Linked DNA regions of Drosophila melanogaster. The gene in region 1 interacts genetically with each later gene. Each region holds a gene or a part of one and is shown on either strand. Other genes may lie near its edges. The genes, in order: MTF-1 and ATP7.

What was found.
Region 2: of MTF-1 (region 1) and ATP7, changing one suppresses a phenotype caused by changing the other (phenotypic suppression), as found in Drosophila melanogaster (one study listed by BioGRID).

Annotation. Positions count from the first base shown.
Region 1 is NT_037436.4:9,428,222-9,433,420, reverse strand, and holds the start of MTF-1 (metal response element-binding transcription Factor-1), read right to left. Parts: upstream 3,110-5,199; 5' UTR 2,900-3,109; coding exon 2,088-2,899; intron 1-2,087. Other genes in the region: RpS17 (ribosomal protein S17), read left to right, coding at 3,724-3,726, 4,096-4,247, 4,307-4,547; Shc (SHC-adaptor protein), read right to left, coding at 4,987-5,199.
Region 2 is NC_004354.4:11,853,053-11,858,046, reverse strand, and holds the start of ATP7 (ATP7), read right to left. Parts: upstream 3,026-4,994; 5' UTR 2,696-3,025; coding exon 1,726-2,695; intron 1-1,725. Other genes in the region: CG10347 (uncharacterized protein), read left to right, coding at 3,389-4,646, 4,706-4,994.

The DNA.
Region 1 (5,199 bases):
CGTCCCCCACGGACCCTTCCTCATCCCTTTTGCCACCGGCTCACCCATCGAGATGCCCCTCCCCCCGCCCCCTCTAATCATGGGAGTACTGAAAAATGAGAAATATGATTGAGGGAACACTACTCATGGCGGTAAAAATAGCAAGAGGGCGTCGTCGCCGAACGGGGAGCACGGCAGGAAGGAAGGAACACAACAAGCAAGGCACGGATGAAAAATTGAAAAATTATTGTACCGCAGAATAATGAGCTAGCGAAGAGCAACAACAATGTAGAACGTAGCGAACTAAGCCCATCACAACAGATCATTTGGACTTAGTCGCGGGAAAATTTAGTTTATGACCGATTCCGCATATCTTTTGAAGGGTTTCAATCAATCGGGTACTTTACGTATCAGCTGGTCTAAGTCTATCTATTACCCTGTACATTTTATCAGTCGATTTCCTGTATCATCCATATCTATTGAAATGTGAGTAAACATTGTGTAAACCCTTCAGCATTCGTGACTTATCACAAAGTTGTTAACTAAGTTTCGGGAGAACTGATTTGCTTTGTATTTATATTAAAAGCCCTATCAGCTGTACATGTTATTTAGCCTATTTCTAGAGAATAAAGACCTTTGAGACATTTACGATTTTTACCCTTTGGGAAAAATAGAATATATAGAGAAAACTTTTTATAGTGCCAAATCGCACTTTGTTGGGGGAGAATTTCACAATAGAAGCCACTACAATTTGGATTCTTTTGAAAACCGGCTTCTTTACATCAAGTGTTAATGAGTTTCGGGGAAATTTTCGGTCGTCTTCGCCTAACACATTGTAGAAATATACATCTATGTATGCATATGTATATCCATCTATACATTCTGCTTGGCATTTGGGGTGGGGGTAGAAATCTAAATGCGTTCATCGCCGCAACTATTTTTGGCCCAAACAAATGATTTTCGATACAATCATCAGCCGAAGTGGAGGCCCAAAGGCATGCAGCCATTATGATGCCCATTGGCACATAGTCTCGGTAATATTGGATGTTTGCGACGAGGGTATGCGCTGGTCGAGTCGATTGAAGCGCGCAGAAATGCAACAGGCTGAGAACACAAATCAGGCAATTAGCAAGCAACTTGCAAGCGATTCGGACACCGCGTTGTAATAAGTGGACATTGGAACGCTTGAAATTTGCCAACACAAATTCTCGACAAGGAAGAAAATATGAAAATTCGATTTTGCCTCTTTTTTTTCGTGGGCAGCCAAACAAAAAGTGAAATAAAATTTAAAAAAAAAATCGGACACGTCACGACAGACGCTAGGCAAATGTTTTCCTTTTTTCCGCGCTCTCTCTCTCTCTCTCTCGAGAATCTTTTTGTGTGTGGGCAGTGGAAAATTAGCAGCGAAGAGGGGCGGTGGTGTCCCTGGCGGGGGTCAGAATGCGGAGGGCAAGGCACACCTGACGGCCCACTATAATTGGCCAAAAAACGACAAAAGCACCAAGCACAAATCCACTCATACATGACACTAAAAATATGCAATTATTATTCCCGTTCTGGCTTTTGCACCAAATCGAAATTAAGTGATTTTTTTCGTAAGGCAATCGAACGATTTCAAGGACTGGCATAAAATTAAATATTAAATAATATCGGCAAAAAAGTGTATATATTTTTAATATTTCATAATTCTGTGCTCTAATCATAACATAAATTTAATGAATTAATTATGTGCTCAAAGCTTGAACCAAATTCAATATCTCAAATAAAATGCTTTGCCAAGACTTATGATTTATTTTGATTTTTTGAATTCAATAATTTTCCTTGAATTTTGTTTAAAATATATGGCAAAATTCTTGCTTCGATATATATACAATATGCATACACACATATGTACGAAGTTTCGAGAACCGATTTTTTAAGGCAATATATAGTTCTGAATCTATATAAAATTATAGTTACATTTTTCTACACGAATAATATTGCAATTCCAGAACGGGTTGTTGTTATCATATCTATAAAACACCACGCCTAAGCAAAAAAACATTCCAAATACAAGCAAATCATAAAATACACATGCAGCGGTGGGTGTACGTGCAAGTGGGGAATACCTCGTCTCAATTGTGAAATAAGCTGGAGAATTGGATGTGGAGTCCCTAGAGATGCTGTTTCCAGTTCCCTGGTCGTTATCACAGTTGATTGGAGGATTTGCAGCCTCGTTGGGGCTGGACACCATGCTGAGCGAGACCACAGTGGGCGGCTGGACTTGGACGAGCCTCTGGTTCTCGAACTGGTATTCCAGCGTGAAGCAGATGTCATCCAGATTGAACACCTGGGCGGTGATATCGCTCAGACTGGCTATCAGCGGAACTTCAGAGTGGCTGGAGCTGAGATTCTCGGTGGTATGGTGATATGTGATGGGTATGACCGTGATGGGCAATGGTGTTAGTTGATCCGCAAGCGAAAAAGCGTTGTCCGCTGCCGCAGATACAACAACTTGTGAATGGCCATGAGTTTGAGATGCAGTGAGTTGATCCTGGGCACCGAATAGGTCGCCATATGTCGCCTGGGCGTCCCCCGTATCAAGGGTGAGGCCCAGATTAAGCACCTGTTGCTCGCCACTTGTGGATTCCGCCGTCTGGCTGCCGTAGATGCTGTAGTTGTCCCCATGGATGATGCCCAGCCCGTCGGCCTCCAATTTCGGTTCGAGCAACTGAGCTAGTGGCCTGTCGAAGTCCAGGGAACCAGAGGAGGAGCAATTGGATGTGACGGGCGGGGAGCCGGAAAGCGAATTGCGCGACGAGTTGGTATCATAATCCCGGCTGTCTGATAACGAATTTCCATGACTATTAGCGGTAGTCTTCCACTCGCTGTGGAAGTAGTGTTGTTGTTGTTGCTGGTGTTGTTTCTCTTGGTCGTTCATGTCGTATTATTTGTTATTTGCACACCCACGCACACTAAGACAAACGCTTGCTATATCGCATATGATATGCAGTTGTTATTCTCTTTCTCTGCTGCCACCGTGCAATATGTACATATATATAGATTGCTAAAGAAATTAGAGATCGCGAGATCGAAAAGCACACATCCGCGATCGAAAAGCACAAGCAACAACGATAAGAACCAGTGTGACCATGGGCGGAACGACAAAATATAACGCGGTTCTGGCTGAAATATACCATAAACTGGGATATACCGAAAATAGTGGAACGCAAAAGGGGACACCGCTTAGTGGGGACTCAAACCGCGTGTAGAGTTTTAGGCGGAGTCTCCAAGCGTGGTGTGAAATTGAAACTAAGGTGTTCTAATTTAAAGAATGAATAAATTTGCGAAACCAATATACTGCCGAATAGACTTATTTTTAAAGATTTTATATATTTTCTTATAAAAAAGAGTTTGTTTCATAACAAGTATTCTAGCCCATATTTAGGTACCATTGCACTGTACAATAGTCTCATTTAAAATGTTTAGTACAATAATGCGGTTTTTGTTAAATAATGTGTTCTAAGGTTCAAGTCCTCTCTTATTTCTATTTAATTCATCTACCTTCGAGATTTGCATAATTATGGTATATTTGCGGTATATTTTAGTATGTTTTTCACACAACCACCCTGGTCACACGGCATCCTTCTTTTTCTTTCGTTTCCGGCGAGGTATGTGCACAAATTTTGTTTCTCCACGTTTTTCTTAAAAATAATTGCTTATTTCTCATTTTAGCGGTGATTAAAATATCCATCGAGCAACATAATGGTACGTACCAACGAAAAACTGGCTGAACTCGAATCAAAAAGCGGTCAAACAAGCATAAAACGGCAACGACAGCCGCTTATCCCACGTGCATAGTGCCAATTTTGTTACCCCAAAAGCAATTATTTGTATCCGGCGTCTTGAAACCGTCCTTAATATCAATACCAAATAGCAATTCAAACGGAAACTTTAAAAGAAACCTAAACTAAAACCGAGTGAAGGCCTCTTACATTAAAAGTCCCCGAAAAATGCCGCAACTATCTCAGAAAATCAGCTGCAAATAACTATTTAGTTGTGACAGAAAACTATCGCAAAGATACAACAAAATGGATTGAACTATCGTGATACTAAACATTTTATCAACTACCACAGGGTCGCGTACGAACCAAGACGGTGAAGAAGGCCGCTAAGGTCATCATCGAGAAGTACTACACTCGCCTGACGTTGGACTTCCACACCAACAAGCGCATCTGCGAGGAGGTGGCCATCATTCCCACCAAGCCCCTGCGCAACAAGATTGCCGGGTAAGTGCCGCTCAAATCTCGTTAGTGAGTGGATCTATAATCCCCAAATTCCTTTCCAGCTATGTCACCCATTTGATGGGCCGCCTGCGTCACTCCCAGGTGCGTGGTATCTCCATCAAGTTGCAGGAGGAGGAGCGTGAGCGTCGTGACAACTACGTCCCGGCCGTCTCCGCTCTGGAGCAGGACATCATCGAGGTCGACGCCGACACCAAGGAGATGTTGAAGCTTCTGGACTTCCACAACATCCGTGGCCTGCAGCTCACCCAGCCCAACACCAACAACTTTGGTCGTCGCAACTAAGATTTGTATAGCGCGTAGATGATGATGTTCTGATTTGCATGGGATCACAATAAATTTGTGTGAAGTGCATTTAAAGTGTATGTTTTTGTGTTTCAATTAATTATGCGTATTCGATTGAAAAATATCCAAAGTGAACATCGTTTCCAAAGTGGCTCACCAGGCAGGAAACTCGATCTAAATTCAAGAACCCCAAGTCTGTGTTCCGTTTATCATCTTTATTCGCATTCGAATGGAAAATACTGTAGACATGCACATATTTGTAAATATGTTTATATTCAATCCATAAATATATGGGTTCGTTTTTACACAGACGATATATAAAAGATATTCTACGAGTGCACAATATTTAAATCTAATCGTGTACGCTGATGCCAGTATATATAATTATTTGTTATGTATATGATGGGTGGTAGCTATACGTATGATTGTTCCCTCCGGTTCAGGAAGATGCTGATGTAATGGGCGACGCAGCCTGATCCTGCTGGGGTCTTCGCACCGGATTACGCAAGACCAGCTCGGAATCCTCCGAAATGATGGGCAGCGCGTGTGCCCAGTGGTAGTTGATCAGATGGCTAATGCTGTCGAAGATGCGATCTTTGGTTCGGACCACGCCCTCGGGATCGATGAGAAGCAGATGCTTGGGCGTCTTGCC
Region 2 (4,994 bases), on another chromosome or scaffold:
AATTGAGCTTCTCAAAACGGCGCACGTACATCTAGTACATACATAAATACGGGTATGCAAACCGATATTCGTAAATCAGCCAGAATTCAATGTGAATGTGGTGGATCAAAGCCAAGTTATTGCATAATTCGCCACTAGTTCACTAATTTCAAATCAACATTTTTGAGCTGGCAAAGCAAAAGTAAAGTAAAAACAGCTCTAAATCAAAGTGAAGGTGAATGAAACTAGAAATGCACTCGAAGAAAAAGTGCGTGCTTAACATAAAATAAAAGAAACTTGCTAAACATTGTACGATTCGTGCTTTTAAATATTAGTAGATTTTATATGCTGATCATATGCCGAAGTAGATAGCACTCTTCTATATAATACTTATATCATAGTTAGCCCCATTTCTCGCTGTGTACGAAGTGGAAGTGGAGTTCGTGGCCACGCATGCGGAGCAGAAAGACTGCAAAGCTGAAAAAGAGAGAGGTTTCCCTCTTTTTTTCCAGACAAAAGCGAGATTAGTTCCTCGCTCGTTTGCCCGCCAATCGCGGGTATATAAATTATTATACATTCATACATATATATGTACATACATTATATGTATGTACTTGTATTTCAAGGCGTATTGGAGCTCTTTCACTTTTGTTTTGATTTTTCTTTGGCCAGGCGGACTTTCAGTTTCATGGCTTAAATGCTAATTGGTAAATGCGATTGGCAGTATAAAGTTTATGAAAACAAAGAGCTCAAATCATTTCATTTGTTCTTTGTCAGCTAATCGCATACATAAATATGTATATATAAGTTCTTCCTGAACACTCGCAAAAAACACGCTATAATCTGGCAAATAAAACTCGAGCTGCCAGCGCCCAACAAAACAATAATTATATTATGTGTTTTTTAGCGAATATCTTGAATATTTTAAATATCCCGACTCTCGGCTTGCCATTGAATTCCCCTCATCCAAGTGTTCCAGATAGCTTTACTGCCCACGCACACGAGCGTGGTGAATTCCAGCTATTTAATCTAGTTGCCACTGGCATTGTTTGCTGAAAGCATAGTTAGTAGTGTATGGTTTATAAAGTACATACATACATACATGCATATGAGTATAGTGCTCCTCGCACTTTCTTATCAACGAACCTGCCACCCTCCCCAGAAAAAAAAGCATAAAGTAAATCGAGTATATCAGTTGCAATAAACAATTGCTGGGCCAGTTTTCAATTGTGGAAATTGTGAAAAGCGAACAATAAAAAAAAAAAAAACATTTGCACCGATTCTACTCGAACTCGATGCTAGTAGGTTAATAAAAAGGAACAGCTGTCGCTTTCTGCGAAATGCAAAACAAATAAGGGCATTCTACGAAATTCCCTTGAATGGCTTATTTAATATTTGTTATTGCCACAAGTTGCATCAATTAACGATTGCCAATAGTTTGCTTCTGTTACAGCTCATTACTCCCATTGCATTATTCGATCCCTTAAGATATACAAGATATATGATCGAATTTAACACCTGTGCTCGTTGGGCAAGAATAAAGCGCAACAGGTGCATATCGGTTGATGGCCCCATTCCAGGTGTTTATTATTATAAATATTGCATAACAATTGGCACTGCCACTTGTGGAATGCTTCCAGACTCGCAATTCGATTCGAATGCATGACCCAGAACGTGATTTGAAATTCTCTCGGGATAAACTAGTTCCAGAAAGCCACTTAGCTTAAGTACACAAAAAACACTCACCCCTCTTTGTTAGCAGTGTGACGGAGGCGGTGGTCACGCCCCTTATTTTAAGCACATGACTCTCGATCTTGTTGACGCAGGAGGCGCAAGTCATGCCCATAATCTCCAACTCCACCTCCGCCTCGCCGTTGTCCGGCTCATCGATGAGTTCGGTGGGGAAGCCCAGCTCCGTGATTGATTTCGCTATATTCTCGGCCGTCACAACATTGGCATTGAACTTGACCTCCGCCTTGGCGGCCAGCAGGGCTACCAGGATGCTGTCCAGGCCGTAGATCTTCTTGCAGTGCTTCTCGATGGCGGCCACACAGCTGGCGCACGTCATGCCTCGGATGTGCAGAAAGCATTTGGTCAGTAGCTCCTGTTCGACGGGTATGGCCACTGCCGAACCATTTTGAGCATATGAAGGAGGTGGAGGAGTAGGAGTTGCCCTCTTTTTGGGTGATGAGGCGGGGGCGGGCGACGGCGATTGGGATGGCGATCGAGGTTCCTGCACACTAGCCTCAAAACCCATGTCATCGATGAGCTCGGCTATCTGGGCGGGATCATACTGGGCGGGATCGTACTGAACGCGGGCATTCTTGGCCGCCAGTTGCACCTCAATGGAATGGATGCCCGGCTTGGTGCCGATATTGCCTTCGATGTTGCGCACGCACGACTGGCAGGTCATGCCCACCACCCGTATGTTGGTCCATGCGCTGGCGGGAGTTTCGGGAGGATCTGCTGCATCCCCTGGATAGCTGCACTCGAAGCCCATGTCGTCGATATCGCTGGCTATCCGGGCGGGATCCGTCTGTCGGGGATCGTAGTCGAAATAGCCCGCATTCTCCTCGAGAATGACGCGCACGCCAAGGATTCCCGATTTCTGGCCAATGTGCTCTGTGATATTGCGCACACACGACTGGCAAGTCATGCCCACAATGGGCAGGCGCACCGTGGACATCGTCGCTTCTACTCTCTCGTCACTTGGCATCCTCAATGTGCATTATTTTGGGTGGGCGGAACACGACGATGCGGAATTACTTGATATACTTGAGATTTTGAACTTTTGAGTTGCCCCTCGCCCTATCGCACGTACCGAATTGTGTCACTAAACTAACTTTGTGGAGTCGGGTGAGTCGTATTGCAGCTACTACTGGATTTGTTGTGGTGGAGTAGTCGCCTCCCGCCAACGCTTTTCACTTGGCCAAACTCCACACGAAACTCACAATTTTGCGTTCTTGTGTCTAATTTTTCAATTAGCAGGCAACAGCTGCTCCGCTCCCGTTATGTTTTTCCCACGGCACGCAACTACCGATGGCCGTCCGTCGATAGGCAGGCGCTATCGAGATGAGCTAGATACCGATGTGGGCTATATCGATACATTGCTTAAACTTTCGATTCGATAAAAAAATATGTGACTAACTAATGTTTTCTTTTTAGCTATTTAATTGTTTAGTTAAATTTCAAACTAAAAAAAGGAATCTTATTAGATTTGAAAATTGCCAAGGTATCGTACATATCCCCCACTTGTCGATAAAAAGTCGATACGAGTCACGGCCGAACGGTCATCTGCCATCTCTATCCGGTCTACTACCGATTTGATTTGATTTGTTTTGGAATATCTATCTCTATTTTTTCGAAATCTCCAATATAATCCAACTCAGCATTGGCGCAGTAAAGCAAGATGCCGGTGGTGGAACTGAAAGTGGATCGCAACCTGGTGTGCTCGGACTTTTCTGGCTACAAATTGGCATTCGATTCGGTGCCTGTTCTTCGCCAGGAACTTGGATGTGATGCCTACGTGCTGGATCCGAGCAGCAATCAGTTCTCGCTGCTGCACACGGAGCTCTTTGCCCGACACAATCACCTGGTAGCCGATCCATGGATGCGCCACTGCAGCTACTTCTTTAACAAGCGCCACCAGCTGGTGCAGTGCAACTACGATCTACAGACTGGACGCGCACGTGCCCAGCGCGTTGTCCTCACGGTGGACTATAGGGATCAGGGCGATGGGGAACTACATCGGTCGGGTGACTACAACTACACCATAGTTTTCGTTTCGGAACGATTCTGTGTGATCTGCGACGGTATAACCAGTTACCATCTGGTGGACACCGGCGACAGAACGCGCACCGATGTGCAGGAGTGGCAACGGATTACACGCTCGCCGGTGAATAATAACAGTGGTCATCGCGGCTTTGCACTCTTCGATGCCCGGCTGGATGTGCTGCAGGAACGTAAGCAGATCTCGCTGGTGGCCGGTCATGTGGCACGCCGTGATGCAGTTGGCCAAGATCAGACGCACGTCTATTACATGGACTTGACCTGGGCACGGTGGACTCATTCGCCCACCAATGACGAGTGGTCATATAATATCTGTCAACGGCTGGAGACCACTGGCTCTGTGCACTACTGCGCCTTTGAGCCTCGCGCCGAGTCCCTAGTCATTGCCAGCAACCGCGATGTTCAGACTCCCGAGGAGCGTCGGGCAGCCGATGAAGCAGCCGCTGCCCGCTTGAATTCCTCAGGTGATCACGATGGCCAGCTGGAAAATGGAGGTCCACCTAGTTATAGCTGGTCCCAAACGGATAATAATGTGCTCATTCGTTTCAATGTTCCTTCAACTGCATCCGCTAAAGAGTTTAACGTGAGCGGTTCTAAAACCACTGTCGTTGTAAAGCATCTGGATGAGGTTATATTCGACGAAGAGTTATACGCCAGTGTGGGAGATGATTTAAGTGCATTTAAGTTGGCTGAGAATGGCCTAGAATTGTCACTAACCAAGGCGGAGATTCAGAACTGGCCACGTTTGTTCGCGCAGAAGAAAGATGACGTAGCGGAGGAAGTACATCCAATGGAAGCTCCACCACTGCCCATTCCAAGTCTGCAGGATCCCGTTGAAGAATGTGACTTAATATCCGCTGATGAAGAAATGAAGATGGGTAAGCATTCTATTATACATCTGCTGCATATGCTTAATAAATACATTTTCTTCTTTTAGTACGCTTCAATTTGACCAGCGGGTGCATCACCCACACTATTTTTCTTGGTCCCCCGCCACTGGTGCTCACCACCACGCTGCGTCCTGGCTTTCCAGCCGCCTTTGCTACCCGCCAGGGCGTCGACGCCTCCATATGGCTACAGATGTACCAGCCCAGTCGTCCAGATGAATGGAGTGTCCGCCACGAGGGCCAGCTGCACGCCTTCGGCTACGTGCAGGCCTCCAAGGTTGTGCGGAAATTCACCGTCTGCAGTCCGGATCTGGATTACGTAGCCATATGTGACCCTGT